Linked DNA regions of Drosophila melanogaster. The protein of the gene in region 3 interacts with the protein of the main gene of each other region in a pairwise test. Each region holds a gene or a part of one and is shown on either strand. Other genes may lie near its edges.

The links.
Region 1: the proteins of Plap (region 3) and P5CDh1 interact in a two-hybrid assay, tested with the Drosophila melanogaster proteins (one large-scale study listed by BioGRID).
Region 2: the proteins of Plap (region 3) and ple interact in a two-hybrid assay, tested with the Drosophila melanogaster proteins (one large-scale study listed by BioGRID).
Region 4: the proteins of Plap (region 3) and cv-c interact in a two-hybrid assay, tested with the Drosophila melanogaster proteins (one large-scale study listed by BioGRID).

What each region holds. Positions count from the first base shown.
Region 1 is NT_037436.4:21,836,163-21,843,227, forward strand, and holds P5CDh1 (delta-1-Pyrroline-5-carboxylate dehydrogenase 1), read right to left. Parts: upstream 5,195-7,065; 5' UTR 5,069-5,194; intron 5,037-5,068; exon of another isoform or gene 4,864-5,036; intron 3,966-4,863; exon of another isoform or gene 3,889-3,965; intron 3,670-3,888; exon of another isoform or gene 3,666-3,669; 5' UTR 3,569-3,665; coding exon 3,504-3,568; intron 3,373-3,503; coding exon 2,899-3,372; intron 2,751-2,898; coding exon 2,579-2,750; intron 2,518-2,578; coding exon 2,330-2,517; intron 2,273-2,329; coding exon 2,050-2,272; intron 1,983-2,049; coding exon 1,615-1,982; intron 1,562-1,614; coding exon 1,327-1,561; 3' UTR 503-1,326; downstream 1-502. Other genes in the region: CG14563 (uncharacterized protein), read right to left, coding at 5,745-5,815, 5,896-6,193.
Region 2 is NT_037436.4:6,713,497-6,721,359, forward strand, and holds the start of ple (pale), read right to left. Parts: upstream 6,030-7,863; 5' UTR 5,578-6,029; coding exon 5,509-5,577; intron 4,520-5,508; coding exon 4,408-4,519; intron 4,177-4,407; coding exon 4,057-4,176; intron 3,931-4,056; coding exon 3,838-3,930; intron 3,454-3,837; coding exon 2,634-3,453; intron 2,339-2,633; coding exon 2,212-2,338; intron 1,873-2,211; coding exon 1,474-1,872; 3' UTR 1-1,473. UniProt on the Drosophila melanogaster protein: Plays an important role in the physiology of adrenergic neurons.
Region 3 is NT_033779.5:1,166,665-1,172,101, forward strand, and holds Plap (phospholipase A2 activator protein), read right to left. Parts: upstream 3,702-5,437; 5' UTR 3,700-3,701; coding exon of another isoform or gene 3,570-3,699; 5' UTR 3,564-3,569; exon of another isoform or gene 3,517-3,563; intron 3,416-3,516; exon of another isoform or gene 3,295-3,415; 5' UTR 3,122-3,294; coding exon 2,964-3,121; intron 2,898-2,963; coding exon 2,031-2,897; intron 1,975-2,030; coding exon 1,348-1,974; intron 1,291-1,347; coding exon 579-1,290; 3' UTR 508-578; downstream 1-507. Other genes in the region: CG14341 (uncharacterized protein), read left to right, coding at 1-258, 319-498; CG31922 (uncharacterized protein), read left to right, coding at 3,570-3,699, 3,755-3,889, 3,947-4,101; charon, read right to left, coding at 4,129-4,292, 4,366-4,979, 5,050-5,249, 5,359-5,437.
Region 4 is NT_033777.3:14,478,703-14,483,279, forward strand, and holds the start of cv-c (crossveinless c), read right to left. Parts: upstream 3,012-4,577; 5' UTR 2,878-3,011; exon of another isoform or gene 2,211-2,877; 5' UTR 1,940-2,210; intron 1-1,939.

The DNA.
Region 1 (7,065 bases), on a different chromosome or scaffold from region 3:
ATTCTAACGGATATAACTAACTAGTTTAAGTAAAATATTTGCCTTACGCAATAGTTCCGCCAACATGTAAATTCTTTCCAAACTCTTGATTGACTTCGGGAAGTCCGTACTTCCGTTTTAATGTGAATTATTCGAATGCAAATTGGCGGTCGACAAACCCGTGACCAAGCAAATGGTTATTATGACTTTAGCGGATTAAACCCTTTTTTTTTCCTGATCGGACGGAATGAAACCCGAATGCGTTTCGTGGATTTTTTATAAGCCTTTAAGAGTTAAACCCCTATACATTTCTATTGTATATTATATATATTTATAAGGTTCATAAAGAGTAAGCCAAGGTATTTTTCAGACGCTTGGGTTAAATGAAGGGTTGAATTTTCCGCTAACTTGTGGTGATAGCCGGTTTATGAATGCTTATGACAACTTCAATATGTAAAAGATTAATTTGTTTTGTCACATTGGACAATGTATTTAATTGAACTAAGAAAACACGGAAAGAAATACATGTATTTTTTAATAACAGAATTGTTTGTAGTTTGATTACAAATTTGAATCAAATGAAACTAAACCTTTGCATGTTCTCTTCAGACCATCAAGTTTTGAAGTTTAAATTCTACGGGTTTCTAATCTCTAAGAACTCATCTTATTTCGGGTAAAGGAACTGCCCCAATCGATGCGGATAGCATTTTGGGTTAAACGAAATGTTGAAAACGGAACCCAAATAATTCTTTTTAATTCTTTGTTATATTTATTAATATGAATTTGATGCTTACGTTACATGTAACTAGGTTTCACTTTATCTCTTCATGATCTTTCACATTTAGTATTCAGAATGTATTGTCGTTTGATTTCACATACATAGGTGTGTACATTAAGTATTTTATAATTGAAAACGGTTCAACCAATTCAAGCAATTTCGATAACGAATAAAACATAAGGCGGGCCATTTAATTATAAATCATATATAATTAAATAATCACATTGCGTTTAAATCGTAAAATAATGATATTACATAGTATTCATTTAAAATATCCATGTCATGGTGTGTTTGTAGTTCGAAGGTATCAGCATATCAATTTACAAACTTTCGAGGCATTCTCATGGGTTGTTTTGAGATTCTTAGAGTGTGTGTGTATACAAATCGAAGCTATCTGAACTAGGTATGTAGGGTTACGGGGCAGGTCTTTGGGTGTTGGAGATGTTTAAAAGTATTTCAACAAAATACATTTAAGTATGTTTATATAGTTAGTAGTTATATGAGATTCCTGTCTGGTTTTCACTACTTTTGCTCATCCCATTCCCCTTGCGCATCTTCTGTCGGCCAGCTTACTCGCACATGTATGGATAGTTGACGTCCCGCAGCGGCACAAAGGTCTCCTTGATGGACTGCGGAGAGGTCCAGCGCAGAATATAATGTGGTCCTCCGGCCTTGTCATTGGTGCCGGACATCCGGCCGCCTCCGAATGGCTGCTGGCCCACCACGGATCCAGTGGACTTGTCGTTGATGTAGAAGTTTCCAGCGGCCATTTTAAACTCCTGCAGAGCGCACTTGACGAAATCCCTGGAAGCATACGTTATGAACTAAAGATAACCCTTTGTATAGAAGTCTCTTACTCGTCCTGCCCGAATACTGCTCCGGTTAAAGCAAACTTGGTAGAGGTGTGCACCAGTTTCATGGTCTCAAGGAGGTCCGACTCCTTGTACACATAAATAGATAGCACGGGACCGAAAATCTCTTCGGTCATGATCCGGTCCTTGGGATCCTTGCTGAGTACAATGGTCGGATTAACGAAGTAGCCCTTGCTGTCTGAGTAAGTGCCTCCGGCGAGAATCTCGAGGTTCGGGGATTTTTTGGCATGCTCAATGTAGCCCGTAATGCGTTTAAATGCTTTGTCATCAATCACAGCCGACGTGAAGCTGCTGAAGTCTTGAACGTCACCGATCTTCAGCTTTGCTGCCTCGCATACCAGGCCCTCCTTGATCTGCGGGTTAGGGGTTAAACAGGTCAGCGTTGCGAAAACATCGCAATCTGATGCTTTTTAAACTTACCTGTGGCCAAAGGGATTCCGGCACATACATTCGCGAGCAGGCGGAACACTTCTGGCCGCAGTACTCAAATGCTGAGCGTATCGTGGAGGTCACCACTGACTCAACGTCGGCTGATGCATGTATAAAGTGGAAATTCTTGCCGCCACACTCACCAGTCAAGCGAGGAAAGTTCACGTAGTTGTCAATGTTGTTGCCCACCTGCTTCCACAGGCGGTTAAAGGTTCTGTCGTCGGAGGAAATGGTATTGAACGGGAAAATCAATAGACCGACAATTACTTACGGCACAGAGCCGGTGAAATTGATGCCTGCCAGGTGGGGACTGGCCGTAATCGTGTCTCCAAACACGGGCCCATCGGCGGGCACAAAGTTAACGACTCCATCGGGCACTCCCGCTTCGCGCATAATCTTGAAAATAATCCAGTTGGACAGCATGGCAGTGTCCGAGGGCTTCCACAGCACGCCGTTTCCCTGCGAAAATCGAAGGCGGTTGCTTAGTTAATTGGTATTTCCAGCCATTGGCTAGTCTTACCATCAGAGCTGGCGTGTAGGACAAGTTGCCGCCGATGGCCGTAAAGTTAAAGGGGCTGACAGCGGCGATGAAGCCATCAATGCCACGATAGCGCAAGGAGTTCTTCGTGACCTTTATGTTCTCGCTGATGGGCTGGTATTTAGTGACCTCCTTCAGAAAATAGGCATTCATTCTGCGAAATAGAATTTGTATTTATATTGAATATCATAATGAGGAAATGATTGCTTCTTCCATTGGGAAAATCCTTTAAAAAAAATCGATTGGAACAGATTGTGTTCTGGTTCTGCATGTTCCTTGTAATAAATTATGGGGACACTCACCGTATAAAGTCGATAAGCTCCGCTGCTGAATCGATTTCCGCCTGAATCGCCGTCTTTGACTGACCCAGCATGGTGGCGGCGTTGAGATCCTGGCGGTACGTCGTTGCCATTAGGTCCGCTGCCTTCTCCCAGATCTTCAGACGGTCTGCAATCGACACACGGTCCCACTTGGGCTGTGTTTCCACCGCCGTTTTGATGGCCTTCTCGATAAGCTTCTTGTCGGCGTAGTAGAAGCTGGCCAGCTTGTGTTGGTGGTCATGGGGCATGACCTGGTATCGAACCTCCGGCGTCTTGTACTCCTTGCCGCCGATCACGATGGGGATGTCTTCGCAACTCGAGGCCGTGCCCTTTAGAGCCTGCTCGAGGGCCTTACGCTCCTTAGAGTCCTTGAGATATCCCAGGATTGGCTCATTGGCGATCGGGAAGTCCTTCAGTTTAAGGTCCGGTATAACGGAACCCAGACAGCGTGTCGAACTGATAAAAATGAAGCGCGTTCAATGTAATAAAACTAATAAACTACTAGCTAGTGTATGCATAATATGGTTACTTATACATATTGTGTCAGTTGTAAATTATGAAATATAAGGATATAACCTCAGGCATACCTTTTCAACAAGCTCTGCTGAAGACTAGAGCATCTGGAGGAGGAACTTCGCATCATTCGCAACATCTTGTCGGGATTTGGGGCCTGTCTCGTTCGCTGCCGGATTATATAAGCGGTCTCTCAGATTCTTCGTCGTCGTCGGCTCGTACCACCTAGAATTTTGCTATCTGAGCGATAGGCCCGCGAAAAGAGCAAACGTTTGATTAGTATTCATTTATCAGCAACCTTGGCAATTCACTGGGGGTCCGCGTCAAGTCGCGTGATTTTGATAACCAGCCAAACGTGAAGCTCCCGACGACGACACACCCCCCAGATAAGGCGCAAAACAGAAACACTGCGAACCAAAAGAATGTGCACTTGCAAGAAATTCTAGAAGGTGCACTAACTTGGGCAGTTGGTCAACCGAGCGGATGACTGATTTATTTTCAGTTTACTTTATTATCGATAACCACGTTCCCTTTCCCATGCTCACACACGCACTCACACACAAGCGCACTCAGAGCGCTTTTTGCACAAGCAGAAGCTAAAATTTGACGAGCATCAGCTGTTCTGTCTACGAAGCGCACAGTGGGATGAGAGCGTGTCAAAGCTGGCACAATCTAGTTAATCGCAAATTAGTAAATTTATGAATGCTGTTTTATTTGTCGAGTGCCTTGAACGCTGGACTAAAAAATAAAAATTATCTTAAAAACATTTTACACTATGTTTAGAACAAGGCATTGCTACCCAATTCGTGTGCACTGTTCGTTTAAAAAGTGAATGTTTATTTGGCTCAGCTTGTGTCTCGATGAAAATTTAACCAACTGCCCAAAAAGCGAGATTGCAATCTTGTAATTTAAATTGCGTGCTGTTGTCTCTTTCCACTGTGCGGTGGCTACGGAAATTTCCCATTGCCGAAACCAGAAAGATGAAGAGAAGGTGGCTGAAGGGGATGTGGGCAGAAGTACATACGTATGTAGTTCTTGTGTTTTTTAACTGACGCTGCCTTGATTTATGAAATTAAGCGGCACAAATGCTGGGGAAGGGGTGCAATAGCAGCGAAAATGGTAGAGAATCGAAAAAACACCCCACGGTGCGCGTGAGCAGCCCCTGTGAGAGGGATAGAGATGGCTGATAGAGTGGGAGAGGAAGAGTGCGGGAGAAAGGTGGCGAATATGTGGAACAAGCTCTTTTAACGTAAGCATACTTTGGCTATTTGTCTTCCTCTTTCCACTCACTGCTTGTTAAGTGCTTAATAATATGTAACGATGAACTAAAGACATTGATATTAATGCGAAAGGAGAGGAAGTTTATGGAAACGCAGGGAGCGGGAACACCGAGAAATTGCCTTTGGAGGCCAAATGTAAAACAAATTTATTTACTGCTCAGCTGTAGATACACAAGCACACACACAGGCGCAATAGAATGCAGTCGGTTGGCTTTGTTTTTTTGCTTTTCTTATTGGCCCCAATTACGCAATACAATGTTTTTATGCCGCCTATTGGCCTCCGCCTTTTAAGTCGCCGTCCATCCCATTTGAACCTGCAATTCGACTATTCGGCGCTTTTCCACTGATTTCGGGCTTACTTTGTGTGAGTTTCAGGCGACGGCGGCGGAATTCGGCGAGAGCACGAAGTGTGGTGTGCCTTTGTTTTGTGTTTTGCGAGACTATTGGTCGGTCGGTCGAATTTGGACTTGGCTAACGGCCGGGAACTATCGGCAGACCGATACAATTTTGCCCCCCTTACTATCGTGCACCTTACAACACTGTCCATAGCTATCGATAAGGCGCCAAGAATGCACATGGATCAAACTTTGTCGATTTGTTATCACGAAGCAAAAAATATTTTTCGGTATATGGTTATATATGGGATCACAGCCTCAAGGCTTTTTTATAACTATTAAAACGACCAGATATGCGTACGTAGTTATTGACTCAAAGCTAAAAGCTGAGAAAAGGATCTAATGATCCCACAAAGAGTCATGGCAGCATAAACTTGGCGGAACATACATAGGGTCAAATGTGCTAAAAGACATACAAATTATCACATCAGTTCCGGGAGCTAATAAAATTATGGTGGTATACATGAAGGCACTAGTTAGGTGTACAATTTTTTACCAGGTACACTAGTTTTGGACACGTCATAAGAATAAGTCTTGACTTATAGAACATAAATATCATATTTATTAGCACTAACACACTTATGGGGTAGGATGACTTAACCGTATACCTATCACTAAACTATATCAGGTTTCGCGCTTCCTAGCCGTAGTATCCGCTTCCACCCGCACTGGCTGTTGCGAATCCTCCACTGCTGCTGGCGTAGGCCACGTCTAGAGGAAGAAACAGGTCCAAAACACTTGTAGATTACTTGTGTGCTAGGCACCGAGGTGCTATCAGTCGGGAAACTCACTCATGCCATTGCCGCCGTAGGGATATCCTCCATAGGGGTATCCGTACTGCCCGTATCCACCGTACATCGAGTACGGGTTGTAGCCGGGATACGAGTAGTACGGATATCCGCCGTAGCTGTAGGGGTATCCGTACATGCCGCTGCCGTATATGTTCCCGTATCCCGATCCCGCTCCCGCATTAGCGCCGCCGTAATAGGGATAACCGTAGTATTGGCTCGCGGATGGCTGCAGGAAAATGGCGACCAGGAGCAAACCGAACCAACAACATGGAGAGCGGCTCGACTGTTTCACTGACATGATTTTTCTGGCCATGTTTATCGTGTGTAATCCTCGAACGTTGACTGAATGCAAAAACCCCGGCATTAACTGATTTTATAGAGTTTGCCGCCGAATGTTTGCAATTTTAAAGCATAAAACGCTTTTTTAATGGAGCTTAATCGGGCGCCCATCAGCGGCTGCTCGGTTTGCTCGTTCGTGCGTAACCCAGCCGGCGTATACGCAATATTTTTAAATCCCAATATAAACGCTCTGCAAACGTATGTATTTAGTGCAAGTTAACAACAAGAGAACAAAACAAAACAAAACTATTTGGCTCTTTTTTGCCTATCGCCGCGATTACTCATCCCACATCTCGTCTGATTTGTGATTGCCGTTTTGCTATCAATTTAAATTAGTCAGTCAGCCGCTTTTTTTGCCAGGGGTTCACATTTATTCTGCGTAAACACAGTCATTAACCTTAAAATTGGTTGATGGTCCGCCTAGTCATGTGCGATGCCAGTGGTGCTTTCCACTTCTTTGAGGTTCATTGCCGACCTGGACCGTGGTCAATGCTCATTCACGCCCTTCGGATGAGGTCAACCGTAATAACTCCGATTCTGATAATTGGAATCGTATTGGTTTTCGGATTTTCCACTGCGATCAGCTTGGTCGTTGGCCGAGAGTTCAGTTTGAGGGACTTTTGGCTACAGAATTTTGGCCTTGGTGGTCATGCATCGACGCTGAAACTATTCCACAATGCGAATCTGTCGGTTTGGAAAGTGATACTTGAGAACTGCATAATGGAAAGTTCAATGTACTTATAGATTAATTTATTCTTCTTGGCTATGAAAGTAGGCTTACAACTTAGTAATTTAGTGATGTTAGATACGGTGGGTTTACACATCTCGCAT
Region 2 (7,863 bases), on a different chromosome or scaffold from region 3:
ATTTTTCAGAACCAACGAAGCCTGGCTTGGGGACCAACTGCGCTTTAAGTTGATTATATATATAGATTTATGTGCGAATATAATTAGTAATTAGTTTGGCTAATTGCTTGCAGAAATGTTAACACTTGGTTGGCTTTCGATCCAATTGCAACTACAATACATCGAACAATAACAATAAAATTCCATGCTACGTTAACTATAAATATGTAATATTCTTGATCCCAATGTTTTACTTTGTTTACTTTGAAATATTTTGATTTTAATTACTTTATAATAATACATATGTATTGGTCCAAGGTTTTTCGTTATTTTATATAATTTCATCAAATTTGTGAAATATTTTCTACATAGCTCGATTTTAGTTCACATGAGATTCACTTCTTCTCACCCATAAATATATTTATCATATTCCTCGATTCTACTCATTAATTTTAAATAAATATTCCATTTTGATGTCATAAAATGTTCCCTAAACAGATTCAGACTTTAGAGTTTCGAATTGCCAAAGAAGATAATCAAATGAAAAAACCAAAGAGTAATTATTTTTCAATTGCATTTTTAATTTTATTAATACACAAAACTTAAATAAAATAATAATGTTTAAACTCTACATACCTACAATACAATACGTAATAGTCATAAGTATAATAATAGATAATAATAATAATAGTACACAATAGTAATATTGTCGTTTACAGTTATTGTACAATGTAAGAAAATTCTGTTTTGTTTTCCATTTCATTTTTTATCTTTTCCGTTTTTTTTTTTGTTTGTTTTCCATTTGTTCCTTGCTCGATTGTTGTATCTATATCATTTTTGTTTAGAAATACTCTCTCTAAATGAAGCTTCCTATACCGGGAATACTATATCGCGTGTCTATATAGTCTAGGTAAATATTGTGAGAGGCAAAATGAAGATAATAATAATACAAAAACAATTTTTGTCTGAGTATACAATCGGTTTTTGTGTGGTACTTTGCCTACTAAGTGCGGATGTATCTGAACTTTGCTTTCCCAGCTTTTCACTTCACTTAATTCGCTTTGCTTTGCTTGGCTTGGCTTGGCTTTGTTTTCACATCACTTAAACGTCTAAAGATTTTTTGGTCCAATAATAGTTGCGGTGATAAATATGCAGGTTGGGTGGTGTATCGGGTGATCAACAAATAAATATGCTTGATTTTTGTGTTTTTTACCATGTGCGCGATTCGACAATTACAACTTTTCGATGACAATTAAATAAAAATTAAACAAAAAACAATAAACAAAAAATAAAAAATAATGCGCGATGCCTTAATTTTGGTTTAAGGATTACGTGTACGAGGGATTGTGCGGTATGTCAATTTAAAATTAATTTGTATAAATGAGACCGTTGCACCTGTATGTGTATGTTTGGGTGGTGGGGGTGGCTGGTGTTTTTTTGGGCGATGTTTTTGGGTGCTTCTATATATCATACATATATCTCCCCCCCATCCACTTAGAACGGGCGTCGCAACTTGGAGATGGCGTTGGTCAGATGCAAAATCTCCGTGTTCATCTGGTGCACCAGAGTCTCCAGCTTGTCGACGGAGTCCAGCACCTCGACGCGCTCGGTGTGCGGGTTGAAACGCACCTCGAATGGACGCGACATGGTGCTCACCCAGCGACGGAACTTGTCCTTGGCATCCTCGAAGCTCTCGGCCACATAGTAGATGGGCTGGTACTCCTGATCCTGGTAGGGCTGCACGGCGGTGGATGCGGGCTCGAAGGCGCGGTGCTCGCACTTGTCGCTGATGGCATGGAGCAGCTCACCGTAGGAGCTCAGGAGTCCAGCACCGTAGGCCTTGATCTGACCATGTTCCTTGCAGAGACCGAACTCAACAGTGAACCAGTATACCTGTAGAAATGAAATGGTAAGGAACCAATGAGTAAATAGGAAGGAAAATAAAAGCAAAGGCAGATAATGCAGGAAGTTGTATGACTTATAAGATCAAGGTTTTCTGAACTTAAAAACTTATTTAAAATCACAATTAAGTGTTTTGAAATGCATTAAATTGTATCTGTAAACTATATGAATAAAAAGAAAAAAATTATTCTGGCATTGAAGTTCACTTTTCCTCTTCGACTTTGACAGTGACTAAACAATGATCTTGGTTGCGAAAAAAAACTAGCTGCGTCATAGCTGCACTTGAGTCTAAGGTCGTTACATTGCAACTCAATTAGAAAATCAACTCACCGTGGACAGCTTCTCGATTTCTTCGTCGGAGGCACCCAGCGAGGCCAGTCCAATCTCCTGCGAGAACTGGGCGAAGCTGGGATCGGCCAGCAGGGGCATGTGACCCAGCAGCTCGTGAATGGAGTCGCTGTAATGGCATAGAATAATGCTTGTTAAAAGTGTGGAAAATGTGCTGGCATAAGGCAATTAGTCTGGTTAAATGAGCTGGGCAGCCTGCCGCAGTTCCTGTAGCCAATTTGCCTGTGTTCCAGGCGACAAAAGTTGCTTGGGAAAAGCGGAAAAGGAAACCCAACCACCCACACACACACAGAGGCAGGCGGCAGGCAGGCAGGCAAATGCAATTAGGCTAGGACAAAGAGCCTTTTTCTCCCCTTTTTGAAGTGATTTTAACCCCCTAGTAAAATATGATGATAGATACTTACGGCTCGGGGGTGTGGTATGGTGAGTTAACGTGGCGCACATACTGGGTGCTCTGGAAGATGCGGAAGGCCAAGGAGGCAAGGAAGTCCCGGGCAGTCAAAAGACCGGCGGCAGGACGGAGAGAGAATCCGGTGTTCTTGCGCAGAAAGTCGGACATCTCCTGCAACTGGGGCAGACGGGTCTCCACGAAGATCTGCTCATCCTGGAGCTTCTGGAAGGCGGCCCGGTACTCGGCACAGGCGTGCTTGGGAGCCAGATCCTGAACGGTCTTGAACACCGAGCGCCAGGTCTTGACCTCCACATCGGAGTAGTCGATGAATGGGATCGGGTCTCCGTACTTGTAGGCGAATGCGATCTCGGCAATTTCCTTGCGACGCTGGCGGTATACCTTGTCGGCGAATCCGGGGTGGTTCATGTCCAAATCGGGCTCGTACTTGGTCATCAGATGGTTGCAGTTATCCAATTCGGAGGCGTGCTTGGGGAACCACGGAGCCTTGACATTCAAGTTATTGTCGGCCATCAGATTCATGCTGCTGAAGGAGCCCGACTGCCTGAGGGAGCGGATCAGCTGCAGCAGATTGCCACGGGTCATGTCCAACTTGATGAGGACATCGTGGTCCACGCCCTCCACGCGCGACTGACGGGACTCCACATGCTGGACGGTGCCGTGGAAGGTTTCGATGGCCTTGAGGATGCGACCCAAGGAGGAGATGCCCTCCTTGAGGCGGACCACCAAAGCGGCACTCTGCATGGCAGCCTCGGCATCCGAGGATTCGGAGGCGGCATTGGCCAACAAAATCTCGTCCTCGGTGAGACCGTAATCTGCAAAAGGGCCAAAAAAAAGCGGGGATAATGTGATGGTTAAGGATGCAATCTTCCAAGGCTTAGGGTCACGTAAACGATAAGCGAGCTACGTGGCAGTGGCAGTGAGACGGTTGCCAGGCAAACGCATTTCGTACTTGTATTAAGTCGAGCGTAACAAATGAAAAAGGGAAATGCGACATTTCCACAGAGAGAGAGAGAGAGAGAGAGAGAGCGAGCGAGCGCGCCCACTCACAATTGTCCGTGTGGCTGAGTGCTTTTCCTCTGCCCTGGCACTTTATCATATTAAGCACTTAAATCAATGTCGCACGCTTTTCAAAAGCCCCTCTCAGAAGTTAAGTACTACTTATGGTTGGCTGCTGGATTCTAGAACCCCCTGCTCACCGTTCTTGGTCGGCTGTTGGTTGCCTTCTGGCTCCTGCGACTGCGACTCCGACTGCTCCTGTTCAACGCTCTCAAACTCAACATCCTCCTCAACTAAAAGCGAATGAAATAAAAATAATAATAAAGCCCATGAAAATCATAATCAAAATCAAATCAAAGATAATAGGCTCAGAAAGAGGAGTAACTGGCATGGGAATTGAAATGGAAATGGATATTAACCTGGAACATATTCCTCCAAGGGCAGGTTCTCCAGATTGGCATGCTCGTCCTGGAGCTCCACATCTTGCTCGGAGGGAATGTGCTCCTGAGCCTGCACAATGCAATCTTCCAGGGAATCGTCTTTAAAATCATAAAAATAAAAACGAAGGCAAATAATAAATAAAGGGTTAAAATGAATAAGAAAAAAACGCAAATCTATGTCAAAACGAATAAAATGAAATAAAAATTGCAACTTTTTAAGTTTTTAATCAACAAGTAAAGCCCTAGCTGCAAAATTTCCCTTTTGATCCCAAATAGAAACCCTCTTTGGAGCTATTTTAGTGACCCACTTGTTGGACCCTATCCACTTACCATTTGCCTTGCTGCGGGCCTCCTCGAGGACGGTTTGTTTGGTCTGCTTGACCACCAGGGTCTCGAAACGGGCATCATCCACCAGGCTGCGACGGCGGGATGGATAGCCATTCTGGAAACGAAAGCGAAAAGATTGAAGTCCGTGTTAGTGACACTGGCAGGATGTGGAGCGGAAATTAGACGATTGCCTTGACCTTCAAGCCAGGGTGGCTTTCTTCGGCTCCACGCTTGGGTGGTGACTTTGAGCAGAGTATTGCGCAATTTTGAAAATATTATATAAAATGGTGTGTGAAAGCGCCGTCTTCAGATCTTTTTCTTTGAATAAAGCTGGCTATTCATGGAACTGTATTGATTGTGATTCAAAGCCACGAATGGTAATTTAATGCGATGTCGCCGCTTCGAAGCGGGCAGGTGCGAAGATAAATGATATGTGACTGAGAAATCGAAAATCCCCATGCGATTCTGGCGGGAAAAAAATGCAACTGGCGATCGTTAAAGGTTTTTTTTCTTTCTTTTTCTTGATGGGGGGAAAAAGGTTTCCATCACTTGCAGTTTTCACTGTCAGCTCGTTTTTTTTTTTTTTTGTTTGTTTGTTTTCTTCAGTTTTTTTTTTTGGGCCACCGCTTTGGCTGATGAAAGATGACCAACTCATTGAATCATTTATATTGATTTCATATTTTTTGTTTTGCTCGGACGCAGCATAAACATAAACAGAGACGAGTCAACAACAATGAGGCGCGACTGTTTCGGCCAGGCTAAGTGCATGGGGCCCAAAGGCAGCCACTTTCACTTATTTGTTAAATAATAACTTAACACACAACCCGTTGTGTCCGTTGGCGATTTGGGCCTTTCGATTTGGGCCGCCTGTTCTTAGAGGTGTGACTTAATGGCCAACCGAGGATTGAGTTTGGTCAAATTGAATTGGCGAAAAAGAAATGCGGGATCACAAAAATGGGCTCGACTACTGGCCGGTTAACTGGTTTTTTTTTGAAAACACAAAACCTTTAGATAGTCACGTAGACCAAATCTAGTCACTCATTTGCTTCTTTTTTTTTACAATTCGATTTGGAAATTGTATGTTTTGCTGGATTTTCGACTCACCTCAATACTGTAGGATTTCTTGATGGCGAACATCTCGCGGTTCTTTTGGGCTGCTGCAACGGCCATCATTTTTTTTTGTGTGTTTGGGTTGTTTTCGTTTGGGGTGAACAACAAAAATTTACGCAAAGTGTTGGCAAAAACACTTAGAATACTATTTGCTTATGTGCTTGGTTACGCTTTTCTTGTTTGATTTGCAATAAGCACTCGAAATGTGTTGACACTTTCACTGCTTATTGGCGATCTGGCTGGGTGGTTTTGTTTTTCAAGAAAATCGCTCCTGGTACTGAACTGTTTGCGTCTAGAATTGAGCTGGACAAGAACTCTCGACTCTCGAATTCACGGCGGGATATATAGATGGTTGATCGGTTGAACTTTAGCTGGATCCTTTCGCGAACTCGAAACTGATGTGGTGATGTGTATTATCCTTGTCAGCTAAATTGTATTACAACAAACAGAGTCAGCAAACTACTTGAGGCTGGGCACAAGTCTTTAGGGCGAATGATAGCGAATCAATGCATGCTTCATGTCGAGTTGCCGCCGCTTAAATACCCCCAGATTCCGATTCCGACGGCCAAGTTAACGAACGTTTCGGCCGATTGCCGACGATTGTTTGCTTCACCAAACGACGATGACTGGTTTTCGCATGACGCGACTGTGACGTAGTTGCCCAGCTGTAGCTGGGTTAAAGCCAAGATGCCGATGCCGTGGGGTTTCCTCTCACCAGCCAGCTAACCAGCTAGCCAGCCAGCTGAGTGGGTCGAGAATCGCGGGGCCTGACTCGACTCAACTTGGTCGACCAAGTTCAAGTGCGGCAACAGGCTAGAACGTCGCATTGGCCATGTTTTTGTTGCTCTTGTAGCTTGGCTAAAAAGCGGGGTTAACCATTAGCGCGTGCGCGTCAATCGGAATGGTGGTAGAATACCCCAAAAGTATTCAGTCAGTCGAACGGGAGTCATTTGAAAAGCCTCAACAGGTCATACAGAAAAAACCAAAACAAATCCAAACAAAGCGAAGCTAGTCCATGCCAAATGTTAAGCATACGCCGTGTGTGCACAGAGCAAAATAATGAAAATATATGACATTCTTACTCTGTAAGTTGTTTTAGGGAAATGTTTTTAACCACTAGAATTATTTTAAAGAAGTAGGTTAAAATTATTAAGAATGTTTTAGACAATAAAAGCACCTTACGTTTATGATACGTTCCATTTTTCTAGGTGTAACAACAGTCGAAGATCTCGTTCAGTTTTAGAACCCAGCAATTCGCATTAGATCCTGAATGACTCAATCGAATCGCGTCAGAACTAGAGCGGATGCTGAAGCGGATCGTATAGGGACCAAGTGAAAGTGAGCTGGAAAACAAAGTAATGGTAAACAGGAAGTACGGATCACATGGCTGCGTGCGTGCCCGAGATGTAAGTAGGTGGCACCCAGCCATATCGATTAAATTTTAAAAGCACATTTAACAACTAATTTGCATGCGTAAATGTAGCACATTAAACTAAGCCCGGGCGATAAGTACAGGCACATTACAATATCTATGGCATAATTGAAAGCCCCGTCAAAACATCTGGCGATTGGGATTTGCATATGGCAGCTGACGGATTACGAGACCGACCATATAGCAATCTATATAAATAATTATATATATATTCCTGTCCTGTAAGCTGATAACGTTGGCAAGGCTGCCGCCGCTTCTCAAATTGGACTCGGGCCGCCAATTCGAATGACATTTTCAGTGGCAGTGGCAGTGGCAGCATTATTTTCAATCGTGTTAGCTTTTAACCAAATTCAGTTAGCGGCGATGTCGAGATCGAAGCAAATTTGCCATTGATCTACATATGTGCACTTGTACTTGCCAACAATCCGGTCATCCTTGCAGCCTGCATCTAGCAACTAACTAACTAACTAATGCCGATGTTAATGCGGACCGTTCAAATTAGTAGATCGAATCGTTTGATTGAGCTAACGAGCCCGATAATGAGCTAACACATCACATATACGTCTATTTGCTTCGATCCGCATTAAGTTATTAAGGCATCTGGAGTAGCAAAAACATAATTATCGATCTGATAGATCCATTATACAAATTGGATCGATAGAGTGGGATTGGTGAGTTAATAAGTTTGTGGGAGCTAGGAAATACATTTGACAACATCGAAAAGCTTTTTACTTAGAATATCGAGGGTAATAATTAATAAATAGCACTTACTGGAAATAACTTAAATTATTTAAAAAATATAATACTATCCAACTAGCAGTAAACTGCGTACTATATTACCCATTAGTCACTGGCAAAAAAAGTTCCCACATTAGCCTTAATACCACATTCACATTCGGCTAAACATTTACTTCCGA
Region 3 (5,437 bases):
GATGCATACGACGGCTACCAACCACTCGCTTTGGATGAGGAGAACGATGCAGCGGATCCCGAGGAGATGTCCAGGGAGCAGGAGACCCCGTCCGCGGATAATGACGAAGATGTTGACCTGATGACTGCCCCAGTCACCCACGGAGACCCCAACATGCCTGCCATTGAGCCCGCTGACGTGGAAATCGAGAGACAAGTCTGGAGTGAACCAAGACCCAGGGAACTCCAAATGGATCTTGACAAAACTCGAACGGAACAGGTAAGACATTCCGATTTACAATTGCGAGACATGCCAGCAACTTTCATCCCGACACTCCAGATACTCAAAGCGATGTCCACTATAACGTTACCCAACATCACAGTGCCGGATTGGGCCAGAGGAGTGCCCGAGGAGCATTGGAAGCATGAGCTGCTGGACCGGATTAACAACCGGCACCATCCACCCGAACCCTCAACGTCGTCGTCGCGCGAGAGTCATCAGCATTCCAAGAAAGAATAGCGTTTGTGTGTATTTAGAAAAAAAGTTCTCCAATATATGTATAATTTAGAATGATCATAAGAAGTTGCTTGGCGGAGATCTTAGAACACAGCCAGCAGGGCCTGGCCCACAGAATTCACCTTGCTGAAGTTCTTGTCCTGCGGAGTAATGGTAAGTTCCCTCAACTTGTCCATCACATAGTCCACGGACACCACCTGCGCAATGGTCTCTTGGCCGCACGAAGTGGTGGTCAGGTTGCCGATGGCCTGCATGGAACGGTAGCACGCTTCCAAGTCCTTGGCCCACTTGAGCAGCTCCACAATACCGGAGGTGACCACATGACACACCTCCGACTTCGCCACGTCCAGAGTCTGGGAGATTGTGAGGTTCAAATAGAAGGTGGCCACGGCAATTTGCAGATTGGCACTGCCCGTCTTGATGGCTCCCACGAGATCGATGATCTCCGCCAGACGGGACATCACATTTTGCCGGCCGGCGGCGTGGCTCATGATGTTGGCCAGGCAGCGCACCACCATGAGCTGGTTGGGTGCCGAGCCGCTCAATTGAGGGATAACGGTCGCCAGGAAGTTGTGACTGTTGTTCAGGACACTGAAGATGGCTTCATTTCGCACGGCCAGGCGAAGGATGTCCAGCACGGGGAACTGCATGGACGCCGGCCACTTCAGCAGGATGGCCAGAGCTTCCAGGGAGGTCAGATCGAGCTCAGGCGATTGATCGGCGAGTTTGATTACGGCCAACAAGACCTCCTCTCCCACTCTTCCATCAGGTAGGCTTAGTTTGCCATTGAACTCTCTGCCAAAGAGATGTAGGGATTAGTTGGGGATTAGCTGAGAAAATATCTAAACCCACATCATTTTCTCTAGCACCTTCTTGGCATCACAGGTGTCGAAGATGCGGTAGTTGCTGACGGGAAAGTGTTTGTCGCCAGACCGCACAAAGTTTACATCCACCTGCGACTGAGCATTGCTACTCGCTGTGGAGTAACTCGAGGCTCCAGTGAAGGGATCCACATTGCCGCCGCTTCCCATATTGGTGTTGCTCGATCCAGGAACATAGCGGGAGCCACCAGTAAATGGATCCTGATAGCCGGTTGGCGCCTGCTCCATCAGCACGGGGCCTTCCGAGTTCTTTATAATAAAGTTGGCCACCTGGTCGAGGTAGGCCTGTGGAAGGCTATGGCGATGGATGAAGGTCTGGGCCGCCTGCCACGGATCGTCGCTGCGGTTGTAGGGCAACTTGATAGGTGGCTCCGTGTCGGAAATGTCCACGCTGAACACAAAGTCGTACTCCTTGCCCTCGTGCAGTTTCTTGCCGGAGTTCGACTGGGTTCCTCCAGTTGCGCCAGTTACATCGCCTACCAAGTTCCAGTTACCCAGCGTCCAGGTGTAGCACTTCACGGAACCATCGGCATGGCGCACCATCTTCGTTTGACCCTCGCGCGTTCCATTGGACAGAAGAGCCTCCGGACCTGGAAGGCTGAAGAAGGATAACCATATGTTTAGTTCTATAAGACAGATCCACTTGTAGCATACTCAGTTTTCTTGACGCCACCAATCTCCTCATTAATCTGAGACTTTCTAGTTGCCACTACTAAGTCGAAGGCTTTAAGGACTGCTTCACTTGCTTGGCGAGCAGGAACGTGGCTGAATACCCTCACCACACCATCGCTACAGCCGGTGACAATGTCCCCGTTCTGTAGGCACGTTACGGACCACACTGAAATGCCGGGATGGATGATGGGTGCTCCCAGCTCATCGCCGGTGATCACATTCCACATGCGCAACGTGCTGTCCTCGCCGCAGGAGACCACCACTTGGTCGCCCAGAGCCTCATTGCGAGCCATGGAGTAGATGTAGTTGCTGTGTCCGTTCATCTCGCGCACGCACTCACCATCCTCGTTCCAGAAGCGGAGAACAGCGTCATTTCCGCAGGAGAGCAGTGTGTTCGCATCCAGTCCCATGACACCCCTCACGCAATCCGTGTGACCCTTAAGCAGGCGCAGCTTCTCGCCTTTCGCGTTCCAGTAGTAGATGTTCCTGTCCGCACCACCAGTCACATACTTCCGCTGCTCCTTCAAGGTGGCCACCGCCCAAACCGCCGCCTCGTGTCCCTCTAAAGCAACGAAGGACACATCACCCGCCTCGCTGATGGTCCACACCCGAGCGGTCTTGTCCCAGCTGCCGCTGATGAGGCTTCGTGGCTCCAATCCTGCCGAGAGAGCACACACCGTGGACTCGTGACCCTTGAGGGTCAACAGGGGCACAAAGCCGTCCTGCTTGTAGATGCAGATGGTGGCGTCGTTGCTGGCCGTGCAGATCCACCGCTCCGACTCCAGGAAGCAGATGTACGAGATGAAGTTCTTGTGGTCCTGCAAAGTAAGGCTTTCCAAGTACTCGTTCCTATGAGGATCGAAGGCAGTTTAGTATGTATGTAATTCATAGCGACCAGACCCAGCCAAATCTCACCCATGGGGCTTCCAGACTTTGGTGCTCTTGTCCCGCGAACCGGACAGAATGGTCTGGCGACCTTCCGGAGTTGGAGGTCCCACCGCTACCGCCCGCACATCCATGCTGTGGCCCAGGAGCTCGCAGCTCAGCTTGTAGTTGTCCAACGATGGCTCCATGCTTGGTGTCCTGATCTTCCTGTTATCCCGTTCAAGCAGCTGCGGTCAAGAAATGTTACTTTGTTTGCCGGCTGTCAGCGATTTTGCCATTCGGTGCGAAAAAATCGCACACTCAGATAGTGGTGGACCGATCCGATGGGTTTGAGGTCAATAGACGATAGTTTCTGAATATTCTAACGGCCAAATTTATAAATTTAAAAATAAAAAAATTCTGGGTATTCGGAATATGTAATGTCCTTAAAAATTGTATATCTAATTTTTAAATAGGTCGAATACAGACAATTATTGTACGATAATAATTTGTTTTCAAAATGTTCGATATCAAAAAGGTTCATGAAGGTGGTAGTGTTGGTAAAGTTATCGATGCTCCGGAAAACTATCGAGAACGGCTTGATAACATTTGCCATCTCTACGCTTAAAAGTATTGTATTATTTTGTTTACATTTAAATGGGTGGCAAAAGTTATTATTGCGACTACTGCTGTTGCTTTCTGAAAAACGATCTGAATGTGAGGAAATTGCACAATGGTGGTATTGCACACGCAATTGCAAAGAGCAACTATTTGAAGCGTTACGAGGGTAAAGCTTTTGTTGCACGATATTCCCGAAAAAGCTGAATTTTCAATATTTGTAGATCCCAAAAAGATTTTGACTGAAGAGCGGCAGAAAACTCCTTGCAAGCGATACTTTGGCAGTTACTGCAAGTTTGAAACATATTGCAAGTTTACCCACTATAGTGGCGATAATCTACGGGAACTGGAGAAGTTGGGTGCGTGATAAAACGCAGATTTAAAACGAAAAATAACTTCTTCTTGAAAACTTTCAGTTCTCGCTAGAAAGAAGAGAAAATCCCGAAAGAAAACCAACAAATGCAAGAGATGGCCCTGGAAAACTCATCTGCGAAAGGGATTACCCCCTTCCTTGCAACCCATTAACCCGGAAAAACTCAAGCAAACCGACTTTGAACTCAGTTGGGGCTAAATATATTTACAGAATGCACACTTTATGTCAAGTATTCAGTATGCTAATTACTTTCTCCATGACGCGCGCCACTTTCAGGTTGATGCGCAACGTGCGAGCGTATTCGTAGTGATACGATTTCGGGGAATGCCCGCTTAAGTTCTCCTCGTCGGGATCGGCCAAGTGCGCAAGCAGGAAGTAGCACAAGTGTTCTGTACAAATAGGAAACTTTAAAGCTTAATCGGACTTCTTCAACTACTAATATACTAATAGACAGCAACCTACCCTGCTCCCCTTCCACGGCGTAGAAAAGCGGTGGGTTTCCGCCCCTCGCCTCGGATGCATTGATGACATCCCGCTTATGTGCACGGTTCTTTAGCAACGTCTTGTTCAGCTCCAGCCGTTCGCAGGCACGATCGTAGTACTTGGCGAAGCCCTTCTCGTCCCACTCATTCGGATTCGCTGCCTCCAGGGTTCTCCTGTACACCGTTTCCCCCAGCTCGCGCTCGTCTATACTATCAAGGATTGCCTCGACAACAAGGAACTGGTTATTGCGCACTGCCAGGTGCAAAACTGTATAACCATCATCGTTGGTTAGCAGAAGACTGTTCAAATCGATTCTGCGCAACAGCAGCCTAATGGACTCTATATTTATATGGTTTATCACCGCCAGATGAAGAGCTGTGTTTGAGTTCTCGTAGAGGTGGTCGGTCATCATGCGAGCGTCCAGGATGAGCGATACAATCTCGGTGTCCGTGTCGTTCGTCAGCGCAAGTTCCAGGCAGTCCTCGCCGTCCCTGGTGAGTAGTTCGTTGATGTCCATTTTCGCGTGGCAGCACACAAATATCTGACGCTTAACGCCGTAAACATCGCCGTGCAGTATTTCCTCGTGAATGGGTCTGAAGTGCCATGTGAAAAGATGATATCATTACGATGATGATGGTCTTATTCGGCTAAATGAATACTTACAGCAATCCTTCTTCGGACATTATGTGCGACTTTCTGAATTCGTTGGCCATGATGCGTATAATGCGGTCCTCGGTGTTTCCGCTTATAAAGTTTTCCACCCGGGTCAACTCATCGGAGTTGAACGATATATCCGACAAGGTAGAGTTTCGGCGTACAGGGGTTTTATTCGTGATCTGATATGATTCGAAGTTTTGCGCTTGCTGTAAGAAAGATATTTATAATAAAATCGTATATATATTTCCATTCGAGATTTATGAACTTAGTACTTTCCAGGAGGAACTACTACATCATAATAATACTTGTACTTACGGTGACATCCCTTTTCTTCCGTTTAGTGATCACGGGCGTCAGTTGCTTCTCCTCGCGCTCCTTAAGCGCCATCTCAGCC
Region 4 (4,577 bases), on a different chromosome or scaffold from region 3:
ATAAGAACAACACTATAGAACTCAAAACCGTACACATAAAAAATCGATGTTTTAATACAATAATAATAATAACACAAAAAAGAAGTGCTCAGTAAAATATTATTCATGTCTTTATGTAATTAAGAAATTTTTACTTAAAAGAGCAGATAGATCTTATAAGATTTCAAAATTTTCCTCCTTATGCTTGAATTTAATCATAATATCAGATTTAAAACCGATCATATTGTGTTTCTGTGTAGCGATCGGAAAACTGAGAACAGAGAATGGAGCACTGAGAACTGGGGAATCGTAGAACCGGAGAACCGGAGCTCCCAGCACGATGAGATGAAAAATTCTAGAGAGAGGCGGGCGTTTTTTGTAATAGACGATGTCTACGCTGATGACCTCAGTTAAAAATAAATAATGCCTTACATTGTTTGGAATTAGTGGCTGTTTCGTTACTCCAGTCCGTAGATGAGATCTGCATCGAGATTCGAGATTCTGGCCTTAAGTTCAGGGTGGCGCTCAGCGATCGGTGATCATGAAGATGCTCTGGTGAGGGGTTGGCGACAATAAGACAAAACATGGGGCGCCCAAACAAATCATTTTGTCAACTCAGCTTGTACCCGGCAGCTGGAGCAGAGACATAGAGACATGCATACATATTTGTGTAAATTCTTGTACGACATTTATCACACACGAAATTGATGAACCTGCCCCGCCTGATAAATGTTTGCGAGCTGCCGAACAAGGGGAAAGCGATTTTACTAAATCAGGGAAAATCTGGGCAGAGATTTGCTTCTAAGCTGCTGGATTGGGTGTAACATGGTTTTGTTTAATTAAAAATCAGAAGCGAGTTTTTTACGGAAGATGTTTTAGGATGGGAGATGTCTTGTTTATTTTGTTTATGTTTTGAATTTCATATCTAAATAAATGAAATAATATTAAAAATCCTAACTGCATGTAACTTATAAACATTGAATTATCAATTTTTTTGGGTCTTTCCCAACCAGAAGATGAAGAACGCCAGGCCAGTCGAAATATTGTTTCAGTTTTATTTACCTGAAATTTGCTATTTTATCAAGCACCCAGCACAAGTGTTTCGCTGTGAACTTATTTACATACTTATCGGTACGTATGTGGAGTATAAACAACAAAGGCAGAAACAACGAAAAACGAGTTTCTATATATAAGGTGGCTATGCTGTAAAATAATAAAGGGCGGGCCGTATCAAGAGTTGTTGTTATGGTAGACAAAACGGGTCGCCAGTTTCAGTTTCTCGGGGGTTAAAACGATCGACATACTCCGATGACGCATTTTAGAACCGGAAATGCTACGCCTGCCATTTGGCTGAGTTCTCAATAAGTATGCAAATCGGATTCGGATTGTTTGTGCACTTTTCGGTGATTATTCCCATGAATTAAAAACAAACGCTGGAGGGAAAAAGCAGCACTCGACCAGAGTGTAAACAAACTACAATACATAGCGATTATGATTTATGAATCAAAATAAAGCGCTGACAATTCAAACAGCAGCGGAAATGGTAAAGAAAGCCGATCAGAACTCGTATAAGGCCAATAAAAACGATCGCAGATAACTCGAACGCGTCGCGTAGATTATGCCAGCGACTAACTAACTGTAAACATATACTATTTAGGTTATCACTATCTTTTTCAGTTCGCAGCTGACAAGATAAAGTTGTACCACAAAGTCAAAGACTAGAAAACCGAGAAACTCAGGTAAATTTTGGGGAGTGAAAGTAAGTGGCAAACCCGGCGACAATCACAAGATGTATCTAAAACTCTGACGTTTCGTTCTAGGAAGCCCCGAAGCCACCCATAAACAAGCGACGTCTGGATTTCTCGAGATCTGCAGATCTTTATGGACCTGCAGATAAGCTGGATGGATTGTTTATCCTACCCCGAAGATAAGCGACATGGGGTCCCGAAGCTCTATTTACCTTTTTAGATGCGTTTGCGGTTGCTGCTCGCGAAGAGAGTATCTGTAGCTTTGGGTTTTCTTTATTTCTTTGATTTCACAACACCATCGGAGATTCTATAAACACCAAATAGAATTTTACTTTCGTATATTGCTTCACAGAACTTTTCTTTTCGTATAAATCAGATGTGTAATTTCTCTTTTATTTTCGTTGTTTCGTTTATTTTTTTATTTTTCTGAATCACTTGTATTTATTTCTCGTTTTCAACAACAACATTTCGTCATGTTTTTTTCTATGGGGCGTACAAAAAATGTAGTAAACGTAATCGAAAACAAAAGCACGCGTTCTCTTACTCGAAAGAGAGAAAGAGACGGGCGGTGAGGCAGAGAAAGAGACAGGGATAGAGATAGAAAGGGGGAAACAGAAACACACGCACACTACAAATAAACAAAAACGGAACCGAACCGCAAAGAAAACCGATTTTTATGCACTATTTAATTTTATATATTTTTCTGCACGCAGTTTTTATTTTTACTTTTCTGGTTTCGAAAGATGTTTATTTTTTATTATGGGAAGTGTTAAAACCGTGCGAAATTCAAGCCCAACAAACGATGCGTTTGTTTTCTTTGGCACTGCAATTTCCGCGCTACATTTTCGTATTTTCTATTTGCTTTTCGAAAAACAAGAGATTTCTTTATTGTTTAATGGAGAGTGCCTTTTTAATCGCGGTTGTGTGAGTGTGCCTCTGTTTATCGCGTTCGTTATTTGTTGTTGACTCCGAAAAATTCGTTCACACCCGCGCTCATTCATAAAACGTATCCAAAACACACGATGTCACGCACTCACAGTTTTTTAGCTTATGTTTCTGAAAATGATTATTAACACTTGATGCAGTATTTTGCAATATATTTACATCTCTTGACCCGCACGTTTTTTCGGATCCTAAATTCAATGTTCACCTTTTTCGTAAAAACCTGAGAACTGCCAATAAACAACGGTTTTTTGGATTCAGTATGTTTTTAAAAAATTTGAATAACAGAGGAGCGCTTTAAATTTGCCCGACTTTTCCCGGTCGAGGTGGAAACCCAACTGTTGTATCCAACAAACTCGTGGTTGGATCACCCTGCTTACCCGCTTTGTTTTCAATGGAAATGTTAAGATACAGCGTTTTAGCGGTTAACAGACGCTATTTCTATGGGAACTCAAAACGTTCGCTTGCTGTTCACATGGAGTTAACATGCGCGAGACCCGCGATTACCGGTTAACAGAGCGAGCTAACAGCAAGAATTATGAAGAGAGCAACATGTTGCGCTCAAACTGCGCCAACAGCTCAATTCGAGCCGATCGGAGCGATCTCAAACGACCTCAAGCATGTTGCAGTTCGAGAGGAAATCCCCTAGAATTGTTTATTGAAAGTAAAAACAGTTGGAAAAACTCCAAGCATATGGATGTATTTGTAGCTCTTACACACCCATTCGAATGTGTTTGTAAATTTACACTAACAAGCGGTGATAAAATCCCATGTTAGTCTTCTCTATGGCTTATTTAGTGTGTTTGGGTTTCTGATTTTATGACCCGGGCCTCATCTTTGTGCAGCCTCTTTCAGGCTTTATCGACTGGCATCTCCCTTAGTTCTTATCAGTGGGGCATTGTCTTATCTGCAGATTTATGGCCCAACGCTCATTTAATAGCCCGATTCCTGGAAGTCGACTTAACACTTTCGTTGTCTCAATTTGATTAGCGCCTGCATTGGCTTAACACTTTTTCACCCATAAAATTGTGTGAACCAAAACGAAAGCGAGACAAACTAACTGTATATAATGATAATGAAAAACTCACAAGTGAGCTGTGGACTATTTAATCACTTTACTTTTGTAACCTACTAAAACAAAACTAATGTTCCTAGTCAGAAGAACAAATTATATATTACTAATCATAATATAATCATGATTTAAAGCAACTTACGTTTCAAGTGCAATAAAATACTCAATAACCGGTTAGCAGAGTTCTACGATTTGTGTAAATGAATAATTATCTAATTAGATAGCTAAACTTTTAATTTAAAATCCTTCAAGTCTGTAATTTAGTTAAAAATACAGATATGACCACAGTTTGAAAACCATAAAGTTAATGGCATAATGAGCCTTTTGAATACCATTAATAATTTGTAGGAGTATAAGATAAGAGGAAAAAAATCATATAAACACCTCTAACTGGCAGTTAATTAGTTGCAGCTAATTGGTGGTGCTTAGTTAATAAATATTAAAACCGAAGACGTTTGTAAGGTCCAAGAATAAAGCACGTGAAATTATAAATCATTCTTATGGAGGAGAACGAACTCTTGTTCCGACCAAATTGTTGAATGAACCAAGACAGCTAACAACAATTCGTCAGGATTAGCCGTGTCAACTCTTTCCTGTTTTTGTGCCATCTCCTTATTTTTCCATTCTATTGGCTTTTCTCTTGCGTTTTCTCTTCTCGTTCCCTCCGCATTTCATAACGTTTTGAGGTGTGTTCGCCGGTCGGTCTCATCCTTATCGAAGGTGCGCATCAACGTCGCAGAGAGATATACCCATTTACCCATAACCATTCCCGACCCGATCTACGTGCTCGGGTTCTCTTGCCGGCTTTGAAATCGAAACTGCCCATTGTGTTGAAA